2 linked regions of the Pelodiscus sinensis genome follow. The protein of the gene in region 1 purifies or fractionates together with the protein of each later gene. This does not show direct contact. Links are inferred from orthologs where the notes say so. Each region holds a gene or a part of one and is shown in the gene's direction. Other genes may lie near its edges.

Evidence for each region. Proteins that work in one complex are often made in the same cells at the same time.
Region 2: the proteins of CDK7 (region 1) and HSP90AB1 purify together in Homo sapiens (affinity purification with mass spectrometry; 4 studies listed by BioGRID and IntAct, counting the BioPlex papers as one, with this or other methods). This does not show direct contact. The link is inferred for Pelodiscus sinensis from reciprocal best matches to the Homo sapiens genes CDK7 and HSP90AB1.

The regions. Positions count from the first base shown.
Region 1 is NC_134716.1:88,001,657-88,009,302, reverse strand, and holds the start of CDK7 (cyclin-dependent kinase 7), read left to right. Parts: upstream 1-4,565; 5' UTR 4,566-4,665; coding exon 4,666-4,725; intron 4,726-7,646. Other genes in the region: KGD4 (alpha-ketoglutarate dehydrogenase component 4), read left to right, coding at 516-533. UniProt on the Homo sapiens protein: Serine/threonine kinase involved in cell cycle control and in RNA polymerase II-mediated RNA transcription. Cyclin-dependent kinases (CDKs) are activated by the binding to a cyclin and mediate the progression through the cell cycle.
Region 2 is NC_134713.1:140,492,660-140,499,651, forward strand, and holds the start of HSP90AB1 (heat shock protein HSP 90-beta), read left to right. Parts: upstream 1-3,908; 5' UTR 3,909-4,045; intron 4,046-4,211; coding exon 4,212-4,358; intron 4,359-4,837; coding exon 4,838-5,044; intron 5,045-5,377; coding exon 5,378-5,537; intron 5,538-5,998; coding exon 5,999-6,132; intron 6,133-6,768; coding exon 6,769-6,992. UniProt on the Homo sapiens protein: Molecular chaperone that promotes the maturation, structural maintenance and proper regulation of specific target proteins involved for instance in cell cycle control and signal transduction. Undergoes a functional cycle linked to its ATPase activity.

The DNA.
Region 1 (7,646 bases):
GAAGGGTATAACTAGGAGTAATGGAATTAAAGAAAGTATGAAACTTCCTGACATTCAGCCTAAAGGTTTCCCAGCAATGAGGTATTAAGTTGTAAAAATGTAGCAGGGAAACAATGGAAGCATCTGCTGGACACATTAGATTATTAAAACAAAGAATGTTTAAACATGTAACTTGCTTTTTACTGTCTGGGCTTTGTACTGTTGAATGTGGACAAAAGTAACTTACTTTATTGACTAAAACCCTGAAGAAGAAACTAATACTGTAGTGTTTATTTTTACACTAACCTATATCAAAATTACATAAACATTTCTCAGATTTTGTCATGTTTTTTACAAAAGCTAAGTAGAAATTTTGTGTCTGTTCATAAAAGTAATAAATTAAAGATAGAATTCTTAAATGTGCAATAATCCTGTACTGAAAACTACTTTCCTACTTAATAACAAAGTGCAAACCAGCATGTCATCTTCCCTTTCTTTTAGTAGATGGCATATAATTGTCTGCTTCTCTTTTACAGCGTGGAGGTCCAGAATAATTACAGAAGACACTTATACACCACCATTGAATGAATTATTATGTTCACATTAAAGGCCTTCCTCACTCTATGAATGTTATAAACAGTTTGTTAATAGCTTTAATAAAGACCCGGTTTAATGGGGTGAGAAAGTTGACACGTTAGACACTTGTCTTCTAATTTATGTTTCTGGACTAACTTTTTTTATTAAAGACTAATTAAGGTAATTGTGTGAATCCACTTTATAAACCTTCACTATTAAAATGTAATTTAAGCAATACAATTGTCAAGAATATCTATTTTAGTAGCAATTGTTGATCCATATAGGTCCAGATCTAATGCAAAATATTTCTGGCTTATAAGATGAGCATTGCTACTTTTTATTATAAGAACTTTATAAACTTAATATTTTTAGTTTTCAACTGCCAGACATATATATAAAAAAGGGCTTTGATTCTGGCATCCAGAATGGTGGCTGCTTGCTCTGAAAATGTATGCACTTCCTGGGGTAGAGAACAGCATTAAGATAGAGGGGATCAACTTATTCTTGGACTAGCTTTATTAATTTAAATTATGTTTGGAACAGATTTTAAACTCACCTGCCTCCACATTATTAGAGAAAACTACCAGTCAGAGCTGATTCTAGCTTTCCTGAGCTTTCGAGGTCAGATGCATTATGGGGCTGATGGGTTTGGCCTCAAGAAGAGAATTACAGGTATCCTTTACTACTTTCCATGTTTGCTCAAAAAAATAATCATAAACCTTAAGTAAAAGAGAGATTAAAAAATTGAGTGCCACATCTGCTAAGTACTCCTTATACCTTGAGCAATTTTAACAGGTTAAACTATGCCACTATCCCAGTAAGGTGGAGACTGTCCCTTCTATGCCTTGATGCTTACTAGCACAGAAATAAGGTTTTTGTTTTATACCTTTCAGTCTATTAAAATAGACTTTAGACCCTTCTTAGAAGATACAAAACCAGTCTGAGGGGTAGAGTTGCAAAGTTACAGTCTCATGTTGGGGAAAGAACTTGCCTACTGTCTTTTCAAGATAATATCTGAGTGGTTTTCAGGTTCAGTTGTCAGCTTGATTGATTCTGTATGAGTCAAAGTAAATGTAAACTCTAAAGTCTTGAAGTGTAGCTGCTGACAAACGAGACCCACTTCAGGATACATAGAGCTTTGAATCCACATCTATATCTGTAGAAATGAGCCACTGATATTGGCATCTATGGTTGTGAATACCCACAGATATCCATCGATTTACAGGGCTCTAATATGCCATATTTACAGATAAGGATGGGCAACACTATATCAGCTCTGTTTAGCTAGCAAAACAAAACAAAAAACTCTGTCTTACTACTTAAATAGTGATAGAAATGTAGCCGTGTTAGTCTGGGGTAGCTGAAGCAAAATGCAGGACAATGTAGCACATTAAAGACCTAACAAGATGGTTTATTAGATGATGAGCTTTCGTGGGCCAGACCCACTTCCTCAGATCAAATAGTGGAAGAAAATAGTCACAACCATATATACCAAAGGATACAATTAAAAAAATGAACACATATGAAAAGGACAAATCACATTTCAGAACAGGAGAGGGATGCGGGGGAGAGGGGGGAAGGAAGGAAGGTAAGTAAGTGTCTGTGAATTGATGATATTAGAGGTGGGGAGAATGGGATGTCTGTGAGCTAATGGTATTAGAGGTGATAATTGGGGAAGCTATCCTGGTAATGGGTAAGATAGTTTGAGTGTTTGTTCATTCCTTCTTGGAGAGTGTCGAATTTTAACATGAATGACAGTTCAGAGGATTCCCTTTCAAGTGCAGATGTAAAAGGTCTTTGTAGCAGAATGCAGGTGGTTAAGTCATTGAGAGAGTGTCCTTTCTGGTTAAAATGGCAAGAAACTGTTTTTTCTTTGTGATCTTGTCTATCTGTTTCGTGGGCATTAATCCTTTGGCGAAGTGTCTGAGATGTTTGTCCAATGTACATAGCAGACGGACACTTTCGGCACATGATAGCATAGATTATATTTCTGGATGCGCAGGAATATGTGTTCTTGATCTTATAATTCACTTGGTTAGGTCCAATAATGGTATCAGCAGAATGAATATGTGGACAAAGCTGGCAACGGGGTTTGTTGCAGGGGAAGGTACCAGGGTTGGTATTAGTGTGGTATGTCCTGGTAAGAATCATCTTGAGGTTAGGTGGTTGTCTATAGGAGACTATGGGTCTGTCTCCCAGAGTCTCTTGGAGTATGGTATCCTGTTCCAGTATAGGCTGTAGTTTATTGATAATGTGTTGGACAGGTTTAAGTTGGGGGTTGTAGGTGATGACAAGTGGTGTTCTATTGTTGTTTTTCTTGGGTCTGTCTTGTGGGACCAGTCCTATTGAATCTATTGTATGTTTGAGAAAGCTTGAGAGTGAGTCTGTCCCTCCATTTGTTCAAGAACTAAAGGGTAAGAGCTAGGACCACCAAATTTGGTATGCAGCTTCCTCATATAACTTAAAGCAAGGTAAAGATTTGGTTCTGCGTGGAAGGTGGGGAAGGGGAAATCTGGAAATAATTGTCTGAACAGGGGAGTTGAAGCACACAAAGGATGAATGATTTGCTCAAGGTCATGGAAGTTTGTCAGAACAAGGAACATAGAATCCAGTTTTTCTGTCAGAACAAAAAATATAGAAACCAGATCTCCTGATTACTAGTCATGAGCTCTGGAACACAAACCGTTCTTTTCCCAAAGTACAAAATGGGGATGCCAAAACATACTGAAGAGTATATTAAACAAAGATTAATTTGTTCATATGATTACTGTGCATTACTTACACATGGATGAATAAAAGAGTTTAATTCAATTCTTGTCTACCTGAGGAAATTTGAACAGCTTCCCCTTCTCAACACTTAGGCCAGAATAAGTATATCCACACACTGAGCTTTTCTGGATTAGTGCTTTAAAATAATGTTTAAGTGTATTTAATGTGTCAATATGACCAGTTCTAACTGGAGGTTGGCTGCTACTTCCAGTATAATTGAATGGTTGCATAGAAGGGATAATACCATGCTGAAATGCAGAGCATGCAATAAAAAGAGCAGTTTCTTGCAAGAGTTAATTGTATAGTTCTAATAAACTGGCTTGTTAAATCAAGTGCACATTCCACTAGCACTGGTAGGAGGTCGTAGCCAGGATGTGAAACATGGATGAAAGTAACTCGAAGGAGTATACTCTGTCCAAATTTTCCTGAAAATGATTCCACTTGAGAGCTGGAATATTAATCATAAAGTGCTGTTATACTGAGCTTGATGAGAGCTTTTTAAAAAAACCAGATAATGAAGTGATGGGATTCTGCCTTTTAGACCACCATACTCCTAAATTCTGACAATAAAGCAAAACAAAAAAAATCACTTTGAATATTTTATTCCTCTAACCTCCTCTGCTGTTGAATAATCTTATAGCAGTACTCTTCAGGAATGGTTTGGCTCCACCTAGGCTTGAGCAAGAGGTTGTGACTTGTCAACTGTGATCCATGCCTATCACCCCCAGCCCATATCGCTGAAGTGCACTTTTAAAGGAGCTCACACCTCTACAAATTAAAGGGGAGGCCTGCAGCTGTGTCTCAGTGGCAACCTGGTAGAGGGGAAGGTGTTGGTGAGTGTCCGAGGGGGCGGGGAGAGTTGAATTCAGGCTCGAGCGCCCCTTTTCCCAAAGCTGGTGTCCCTGCCTCTCGTTATGGGAACCGCCCCCGTCCCTAGCGGCGAGCCTGGTGAGGCCGGGCTGTATGCGTGCTCGGCTGGCTTCAGGCAAGCTCCCCGCCCGGAGCTGCTCAACGGGCCGCAATGGTCCAGTGCCCTGGTCACCCCGCCATGCTCAGTAAGACCCCGCGCGACCCGTCCTGCCCCGCTCGCGGCCGGTGTCTGACCCGGGGCGGACTCCGAGAGGGCCGGAACCTAAGACCGCCGAGAAACGCGGGCTACTTAGTGACTGTTGCTAGAGCGGGACGCTGGCGCCGCGAGAACACCTCATTGCAGCCGCTGGGACGGCGCATGCGCCGGAAGCTCGGAAACGGGGCGGGGTTCCGCGTGGGGGCCGGAAGTAGCGGCGCTCAAGCAGTGACGGTTTTAAATCCCCTCGGTCCGGTTCCTCTTCTCGGCTGGTGATGGACGCGAGGATGCGAGCGAAGCGCTACGAGAAGCTCGATTTCTTGGGCGAGGGGCAGGTGAGGCCTGTGAGGGGGTGTCTGGACAGGGGCCTGGGCTGGCCAGTTGGGGGGTTCGGCTCGGGGCAGGGGGTCGGGCCAAGCCGGGCTGCGGTGTCCGTGTGGGGAGTGACTCCCGTTACATCCACCAATCCCATAGCTGCTGTATCGCAGCAGAAGTCGATCCGCAGCCGGACAGCGTGTGGCTCGGGGTGGGTGTGAGAGGGGCCTGAGTGCTGGGCGGAGGGTGGGGATGTGGGGTGAAGACTGGCTGGGCGTGTGGGCTCTGGAGTGGGGCTGGGCAGGAGAGTTTCAGGGCGCAGGCTTCTCGGGAGAGAGGAGACTTTCAGCCCTCTCACCGCAGCGGCCTGAGTCCAGGCGAGAGGTGTCTCTCCAGGGCTGTTGCAGCTCCAGCTGGCACAGCGAGGGCAGGGACACCTGTCCCCTAACTGGGGGAGTTCCAGGCTCTGGGTTGGGATCTGGGAAGGGACACCTGATTCCCCAACAGAGTGGGATGGACACTGTTGCCAAGGGAGTGGTGTGCCTTAAAGGCCCCAAAATAGAACTGCTGTGGTCAGGGGAGCTCGACCCCTCCTTGCAGGCTCTGGCATAGAGCTGGCTTGGTATCTCTTCTGCAGAAGCTCTGTGTTAGAACTGGTGAGGATAGGGGCTTTTGTCCTAGCTACTCCAGGATTGTGCTGGGGCCAGCAGGCAGAGGCAGCACTCTGTGTGGTGGTCCTGAGCCTCTCCACAAGGCTTCGTAGGCAGCTGCATGGCCATCTGGCTACACAACATAAAGGGAAACTTAGCTAGTCTGGGGTGGCGGTAGGGGAGCCAGGGCTGGCCAGTGCTATGGGATGAGAGGTGGGAGTTGCAACTTGGAAGAGGGTGGGCTGGGACTGGCCTGTGCCAAGGGTTGAGGTGTCTGCTGAGGACCATCCTAGCCTCTGTTATAATGAGGCTGAGGAAATTGAGAAGGTGTGACTAGGTGTAGAGGCTGTGGGTTGGCAACTGCAGTCCATTAAATTAAATTATACTCTGGACATATGACTTAGGTTGTAATATTATTGTTCCCTTGTTTTGTTTCCGTGGTATGAAAGAGACAAATTTAGTGAGACTATGCCATCTGCTACCTATTAAGGTCACTTTTAAGCCAGCTCCACGCACATGCCAGCTCCCAAGGATCTGTCTGATCCTCCCACTACTGCCTCCCGCAGAGGTGAAGGTGGGGAAGGGAGCCAGTGCTCACAGGGATCCAGCTTAAAAGTTGGCTCCCCCCGCGTACTGGCTCCTGCCTGCCCCCTCCCCACCCCGTGCTGCTGCCTCTGTATTAGAGGCAGCAGTACAGGGGGGCAGACGACTCTTCGAGAGCTGGTGCTTGCAGTAAGCCAGCTTAAAAGCCAGCTCTGCACACACACCGACTCCCATCTCCCATCCCTCCCCCTCCACTGCCTCTGATAGAGACAGCGGAGGTGGGGGGGAAAGGGTGTAACTGTGGGCTAACCAGTGAGCCCAGGCATATTGGTAAACAGTGTACTTGAGTACACATCGACATCCTTAGCAGGATCGTTGCTAGCAGATCAAGAAGTGATTATTCCCCTCCGTTTGGCACTGGGGAGGCCACATCTGGAGTTCTGTATCCTGTTCTCTCACATGCACACACACGATACAGAAAAGATGTGGACAAATTGTAGAGAGTCCAGGGAAGGGTAACAAAAATGATTAGGAGGCTAGGGCACGTGACTTATGAGGAGAAGTGGAGGGACCTGAGTTTATTTAGACTGCAGAAGAGAAGAATGAGGGGAAATTTGATAGCCTTCAACTACTGAAGTGGAGGAGGGTTCCAAAGAGGATGGAGACAGGCTATTAGATGAGTCCATAGAAGAAGCTCTTTGTTCTATCAAGTTGCAATGAAGGGAGGTCTAGGTTGGATGTTAGGGGAAATTACAGTAAACTTCCGATAATCCGACACCTTTAGGACCTAGGGGGTGCCGGATTATCAGATATGACAGACTATCGGAAGGGGGGGCTATGAGGGGTCTAGGGTGGTGTGGGGGGGATGCCACCCCAGACCCCTCATAGCCCTCCATTCGGTAGTCCGGCTCTGCCCCAGGCATGCCCGAATCAGCTGCTGCTGGTCAGTTTCAGCAGCAGCTGAATCGGGACGCCTGCTGCAGAGCAGCTGGGGTGCTGCCAGGTTGGTCCGGTAGCGCTGCCCCTTGGCGCCGCGAGATCAACCCGGCAGTACCTCAGTTGCTCTTGGTGACGCCTGGGGCAGAGCAGCTGGGGTGCTTCCGGGTTGGTCCCACAGCCCCAAGGGGCGGCGCTACTGGACCAACTCAGCAGCACCCCAGCTGCTCTGCCCCAGGCATCCCCAGTTCAGCCGCCCGTTGAAACTGACCAGCAGCTGACTCCGGGAAGCCTGGGGCGGAGCAGCTCTGCCTCAGGCTTCCCGGAGTCAGCCGTCAGCCACTGGTCAGTTTCAGCAGCGGCTGAATTGGGGACAGCTGGGGTGCTTCCGGGTTGGTCCCGCAGCACCGAGGGGCAGTGCTATGGGACCTATTGGCAGCACTCCAGCTGCTCTGCCCCCGGCTTCCCTGATTCAGCTGCTGGTCAGTTTCAGCATCAGCTGAATCAGGGAAGCCGGGGACAGAGCAGCTCCAATGGTCCGGCTGCCTGGAGCATTTCCGGGTTCCTGATGGTGCTGGACCATCCGGAGTGCCGGACCACCAGATGTCAGATCAATGGAGTTTTACTGTATTTCACTAAGAGGATGGTGAAGCACTGGAATAGATTGCCTAGGGAGGTGGTGGAATTTACACCCTTAGAGGTTTTTGAGCCCTGTCTGGAATGATTTGGTTGGGATTGGTACTGCTTGGAGCACGAGAATGGAATAGATGACCCCCTGAGGTCTATTCCAACCCTAACCTTCTATAATTCTT
Region 2 (6,992 bases), on another chromosome or scaffold:
GGACCTCTCAGGGTGGCTTGGTGTAAGGGTTGTCTCAGAGCTCTGACTTCCTCCCTCTTTGCCAGCAATACTGCAGGGATCTCCCTCCGGCACCTGATTATAGTTTGTCATGGAATTAAGTTTCATTGGATGCATTGCCTGCAGCTCTGTCCTCCACCCCATGGCACCACTTAGGGCAAATGTGTCCACCAGGGGTTTTTTCTTGTGGCCCCAGCCTCCTGGGCTGGGCTGGAGAGGAAGTGGCTTCTCCCAGTTGCTCCTGGATGTATTGCTTTGGTGTTTGATGGAACCTAGGTCAACCTAACGTTTTAGTGTGGAGCAGGCCCAGTTTGAGCATGAATTACAGTGGTTTACATTACATGTAGCTGCATGAGGGGTTTCCCCAGGTTACCTACCAATTGGTTAGTTATACTGGTGCAAAAAGCCCATGCCTAGGCCATCCCTAAGGCTGCATCTTGGAAATGGGGTGTTGAGAACAATAGGCATTTCCCAGGGCTTCCCCCATTTTAAAACTGTCCCCCATCCTCCCCAGCCCCTGCTGGATAATGGGGAGCAAGAAGATAATGGTGGGTGGAAAGCAGGTGGGTACTGTGAGCTTGCAAACCTACCATAAGCCAAGGGCAAGAAGGCTTTTTTTCTTGCTTCTACTCTGTTTATAATGTTGTCCACGTTAGAAAGGTTGCTCTGATTAAACTCTGTTGGTTTCTAAACCAATAAGATGACAGCAATACAAAAACCCCACAGAGACCAGTCCTAAGTATTATCCCTCAACACAAGCAGGGAGAGTGTGGCTGCTCCCCCCCAAAACATGATAGGGCAATTTGATCCCTTGCATCACTCTGGAATTTCTCTCACTACATGAGTTTCCATGGGGTAAATGCCTGAGAGCTGCCAAGGGCAGGGGAGGGAAAGAACATGGGACAATCATTTCATGGGGTCCGTCCAAACTCTTTTGGGACAATTGCCGCAAGACTTCACAGGTGCAAGGTGGGAGTCCATGGACCAAGTAGGCAACTCTAAAGCTTCATTGTGTAGAAATATTCGCTTAGGCACAGAACTCTTCAGTATTTGTTTTTAATATTAGTCTCTGCCTTTTCCCCAGAACTGTTCACTTAAAAACAAATTGAATGGCTAAAATAAAAAAAAACCACAATGTTATAAATATGCTGCTATTGATTGTTTACCTACCAGGACTTTTTTTTTTCTTTCCTTTCCTTATTTAAAATAAAGACATTTCCAAAACACTCTCATTTTACACTATTTTTTTCTCTGTTATTTCTCCTTTCATCTAGTTTAAAACAAAACACAGCAAAACCCAGATATTTTCCTTTTAAGAGGTAGAAATTAATGGTTCACCCAGTCTGGCATCCTGCCTCTGGCAGTGGCTAATTCCAGATGAGTAAGAAAAAGGTGACAAATTTTCATCAGACCTATGGTTAAGGAAGGTCTCAACATGCAAAGGGACATCAATCTGATTGTGTGAGCAAAGAAATCTGTGCTGGCAGAACTGGGGCCTAAGTATCCCAGCAACAGCAACCAGCCTGGCCACCACACGGCCACAGCCCTGACTCCCGGTGGCAGCAACCCGCCCGCCTGCAGCTCTGATGGCGTAGCAACCCACCTGTCCATGGCCCCAGCCCTTGATAGCAGTAATCCACCCAGCCATGGCCCCAACCCCGGAGGCAGCAAACCATCGACCCACAGAGCTCTAACCCCCAGCGCAGCAACACACCCGTGGTTCTGACCCCTAGAGCAGCAACCCACCCACCTTGTGGCCTTGGCTCTGGCAGCAGCCACCCTCTGATACAGCCCAGGGCCTACCCTGCCACGGGGGCCCCGGTTCTGGGAGCAGCCACACCACTCACCTTCCAGATTCAGCAGGAAGGTGAGTGCTGCTGTACTGCTCTGTGAAGGAGGTGGGTTGGGTTAGAATTGTTTGTGTGCGGTCATGCACTTTAGAGGGAACACTGGTCCAGAGTTACAAATAAATAGCAGAAAAAGAGGGGCTGGGGAGGGAAAGGAAAGGGGGGGAATTATCAATTACAGTGTCTGTGCTAAATGAGGCTAATTGAGTGGGCTATAAATGCCCAATACTTAACTTGTAATGTCATTAGGGTGTTGAATGTAGTGCCCCATCCAAGTAACGTCTTTGTTCAGACCTTGGTTAAAGGTGTCAAAGTTGCAGATGAAGGTGATTTCTGCAGCTTCTCTTTCCAGCTGGTTTTTTAAATTGCTTTGTAACAGGATGGTCACTTTGAGATCTATTAGTGACTGCCTGGTCAGGAAAAAATGTTCCCCAACGGGTTTCTGTATGTTTCCATTTTGAGTATCTGATTCGTGTCCATTAATCCTTTGTCATAGAGACTGTCCAGTTTGGCTAATGTACATGGCAGACAGGCATTGCTGACACAAATCACATTAGTGGATGTGCAGTTGTATGAGCCTCTGATGTGGTGGCTTATGTGGTTAGGTCCTGTGATGATGTTGCTTATCATAGAATCATAGAACCATAGAGCTGGAAGAGACCTCAGAAGGTCAAGTCCACCCCCCTGGTCTAGACAGGACCAATCCCAACTAAATCAACCCAGCCAGGGCTTTGTCAAGCCTTAAACACCTCTAGGGATGGAGACTCCACTACTTCCCTAGGTAAGCCATTCCAGCACTTCACCACTCTCCTAGTGAAATAGTTTTTCCTAATATCCAACCTGGATCTCTCCCACCATAACTTGAGATCATTGCTTCTTGTTCTGCCACCTGTCACTAATGAGAACAGCCTCTCTCCATCCTCTTTGGAACCTCCCTTCAGGAAGTTGAAGGCTGTTATCAAATCCCCCCTCACTCTTCACTTCTGCAGACTAAACAGACCCAACTCCTTCAGCCTCTCCTTATAGGTCATATGCTCCAGCCTCCTAATCATTTTGGTTGCCCTCCGCTGGACCCTCTCCAATGCGTCCACATCCTTTTCGTAGTGGGGGGTCCAGAACTGGACACAATACTCCAGATATGGCTTCACCAGAGCTGAATAAAGGGGAATAATCACATCTCTGGATCTGCTGGCTTGCATAGATGTGTGGACAGAGCTGGCGCTGGAGTTGATTGCAGGGGTGCATTCCTGGATGAGTATGATGGAGGTGTGCTGCGTGGTTACAGGAGAGAATTTGTTTGAGGTTAGGGGGTTGTCTATATTTGAGGACTGGCTTATCCCCCAAGGCCTGTGAGAGTGAGGGGTCATTTTCCAGGATAGGTTGTAGATGGTTGATGATGCGTTGGAGGGGTTTAAGTTGGGGTCTATGGTTTAAATGGTGTCTTGTTTTCTTTGTTGGGTCTATCTTGAAGAAGCCGATGCCTGAGTACTTGTCTGGCTCTGTCAATCTGTTTTTTTCATTTCCCTGGTGGGTATTTCAGTTTTAAGAATGCCTGATAGAGACTCTGTAGGTGTTTGTCTCTGTCTGTGAGATTGGAGCAAATCCAGCTTTATCGTAGGGCCTGGCTGTAAACAGTTGATTGAGAAATGTGTCTTGCATGGAAGTTAGCCTGGTTTAGCAGGACACTCTAATTGACAATTTTCCCCCTTCTCTTTCCCTCCCCATCACCTCTTTTTCTGCTATTTATTTGTACCTCTGGACCCCTTGCTCCATCCATCTGAAGAACTGGGCTGTGCCCACAGCTCCTCTGCATGGTTTGTTAGTCTCTAAGTGCTGCAGGACTATTTGTTGTTTTTTAATTTTTTTCAATAGTGGGATGACATGGTAGCAGGAGATAGCTCAAAAGTAGGGTGACAGAGTAGCGGGGTATAAGGAGCTTCCCGGGTATTGAGGGAACTGGGGAGTATGAGCGCGGTGGGAAAAGAGAAAGTACCAGGATCCACAGCAATCATGGGCCCCGCAAGACCCAGCGTGGCCCTTTTAAGGCGGAGGGATCCAGGGGCCGGGCTCAGCCCCTATATAAGGCTGGCGGAGGGGGTGCCGGCTTCTTTCTCCCGGCCGCACCGCAGCGCCAGTAGCAGGGACTGAGCTCGCTCCTGCCCGAACCCCAGCCCATCACGGTAAAGGCGGGGCGGGCGGGCTCGGCTGGGGAGGGGGGGGGGGCACGTGGCGCCGCCGGGCGCTGCCATGTTGAGCGCGGCGGGGGGGCGGCTCGCGGGGCCGGGCCGCGCGGCCGGTGCCGTTGACCGGTCGGGCGCGCGCTGATGCGGGCTGTCCGCGTTGCAGATGCCGGAAGCCGCGCAGCATGGCGAGGAGGAAGTGGAGACCTTCGCCTTCCAGGCCGAGATCGCGCAGCTCATGTCGCTCATCATCAACACCTTCTACTCCAACAAGGAGATCTTCCTGCGCGAGCTCGTCTCCAACGCCTCCGACGTGAGCCCCCCCCCCCCCCCCCCCCCCGCCTGCCCTTGGGCCAGCCCGGGCCGCGCGCGCTAACGGCCTTCGCCAGCGGCGCCCGCCCTTGGGAATCCCCTCGGCGTCCCTCCCCCGCCAGCCTCCCTGGCGCAGGGGAGCCACAGCCCAGGGCGGGTTTGCCCCGCTGCCCTTGGGGGAGCGGGCATGGAGGCGGCATCCAGCGTCACCCGTTGGTCTGCAGGGATTCTCTCTTCCTGGGGGTGGGGTGGGGTGAGCCCATCTCTGGCCTGTGTGTTGCTCCGATGGGGTATCCACAGTGCTGCTCTCATGCAGGGCCTTGTGTTTTACCCCTTGGAGGGGTTTGAGTGAGCCCAGGCCCTTTGTTGGGGGTGTGTGTCATGCTCCCCTTCCTCTCCAGAGCAGGCAGAGGACGAGATCCAAGGAGCAGGTAGGTGAATAGTAACTGGGCCTTGCAAACCTTCACTCTTCTCCTCCAGGCCCTGGACAAGATCCGTTATGAGAGCCTGACAGATCCCTCAAAGCTAGACAGTGGCAAAGAGCTAAAAATTGACATCATCCCAAACCCCCGGGACCGCACCCTGACTCTGGTAGACACAGGCATCGGTATGACAAAGGCCGACCTCATCAACAACCTGGGCACCATTGCCAAGTCTGGTACTAAAGCCTTCATGGAAGCCCTTCAGGTGAGTAGTCTTGAGTCCGGGCACAAGAGCGTGTGGGCCTGGGCACCTCCTGGGCTCGTGTCCTTCATAGGGCCTTACAGCTTCAACACTCAGTGTTTGCTGGAGGGACAGTCGCCTTCTGGGTCCGCATCCTCCCAGGGAGCAGCATAGAGTGCTCTTGGCTTGCCCACGTGTTTCCCTGCTCCCTCCTGCACATAGAGAAGGTGGCGGGGCCCTGCCCTATCCCTGTCTCTACTGTGCATTGGCCCAGTTCCCTGCTACTGGAACACACCTGACAGACATCGCCGATTTCTGGTGTCCTGATCTTCTCATTCTGTCTCCTTCCCTCTGCAGGCTGGTGCTGACATCTCCATGATTGGGCAGTTTGGTGTGGGCTTCTACTCCGCCTATCTGGTGGCTGAAAAGGTGGTGGTCATCTCCAAGCACAATGATGATGAGCAGTATGCCTGGGAGTCATCAGCTGGGGGCTCCTTCACTGTTAAAACTGATCATGGTATGTACTGTGGAGATGGGGCTTGCAAGGAACCAGCTGCCCCTCTCCTCTCTATCTTCCATGGGGTCCCATGGCTTTGAGAGGGTCGATGATATGGGGGGGGGGGTGAGGTGTTGTAGCCTTAACTGCTACTGGTGGTGAAACAATCACGGGGGGAGAAGGTCGCAGGGTTGTGTGTGAAGGTGAAAGTAACCTGTCATCTTGGGTTAGGTCTCAGGGCTATCCTGTAGGTGCAAGAGGAGAAGGCTACTCTCAATGCTAACCAAAGCCATGGTTTAAGCTTGGTGCAGGCTCAGTACTAGCAGTGCATCTGCCCTACTTTCTCATGACCTTGGCTCCCATTAGAAACACTGTGATGATCCTCCCTTTAGTTTAGCGGTGGGCTGCACCTGCCATTGACATGAGATCTCCAGTGAGCTCTGTCCAGCGGTAATGCCACAGCCTCTCTCCTGGTGCCACAGGTGAGCCCATCGGGCGCGGCACCAAGGTGATCCTGTACTTGAAGGAGGATCAGACAGAGTACCTGGAGGAACGGCGGGTCAAGGAGGTGGTGAAGAAGCACTCACAGTTCATTGGCTACCCCATCACCCTTTACGTACGTATGTGAGATGGCAGGACCCATGAGAAGGACAGATAGAACATGGGAGAGGCCCAGGCTGAGACTGGGGAGAGATTGGTACATTCTGCCTTGAGCCTTCCTATCCCCCCGTGTGTGTATGTAAGAGACTGTGATGGGTGAAGGCAAGAGCTGGGCACTCATCCTGCTGCTAAGGAGTTGGCCAGAAGAATGGTACGAGTGGAAACTAGCTCACTGCCTCTAGGGGGAGGGTATCACAGAAGGGGTATACTGTTCTATCAAACTCACATCCCTAAAATCCATGCCGGTGCTTTGGGCCAGCACCTCCCCTACCTGGTGAGGGGGTGGGGCTGGAATTCCAGCCCTCTGTCTCCTCTTGTTTGGGCCTCTAGTGCATGAGCTATGGGAGGTCTCAACCAGCTGGGGGTGGCCATGGTTCCTTATCCTCTTGGTTGTCCCAGCCACTGAAAGGCACCATTTGCAAAATGTGAACCAGTGCTTTATGTGCCGTGCATCACGGCAATGTTTAGCTTAGTAGGACACCTACCTCCCTTGGGGCTATGGTGTTTGTCACTGCCCTGATCTTCTGCAAATAGGAGGCCCTGAGTAAGCTAGTTGTCTTTGCCACGGCCGTCTTTCTACCTCTTCCTACAGCTGGAGAAAGAGCGGGAAAAGGAAATCAGTGACGATGAGGAAGAGAAGGAGGAGAAAGAGGATGAGGACACAGCCCCCAAGGATGAGAAGCCCAAGATAGAGGACGTGGGCTCAGATGAGGAGGAAGAGGAGGGTGGTAAGGGCAAGAAGAAGAAGACCAAGAAGATCAAGGAGAAATACATTGACCAGGAGGAGCTGAACAAGACAAAGCCCATCTGGACCCG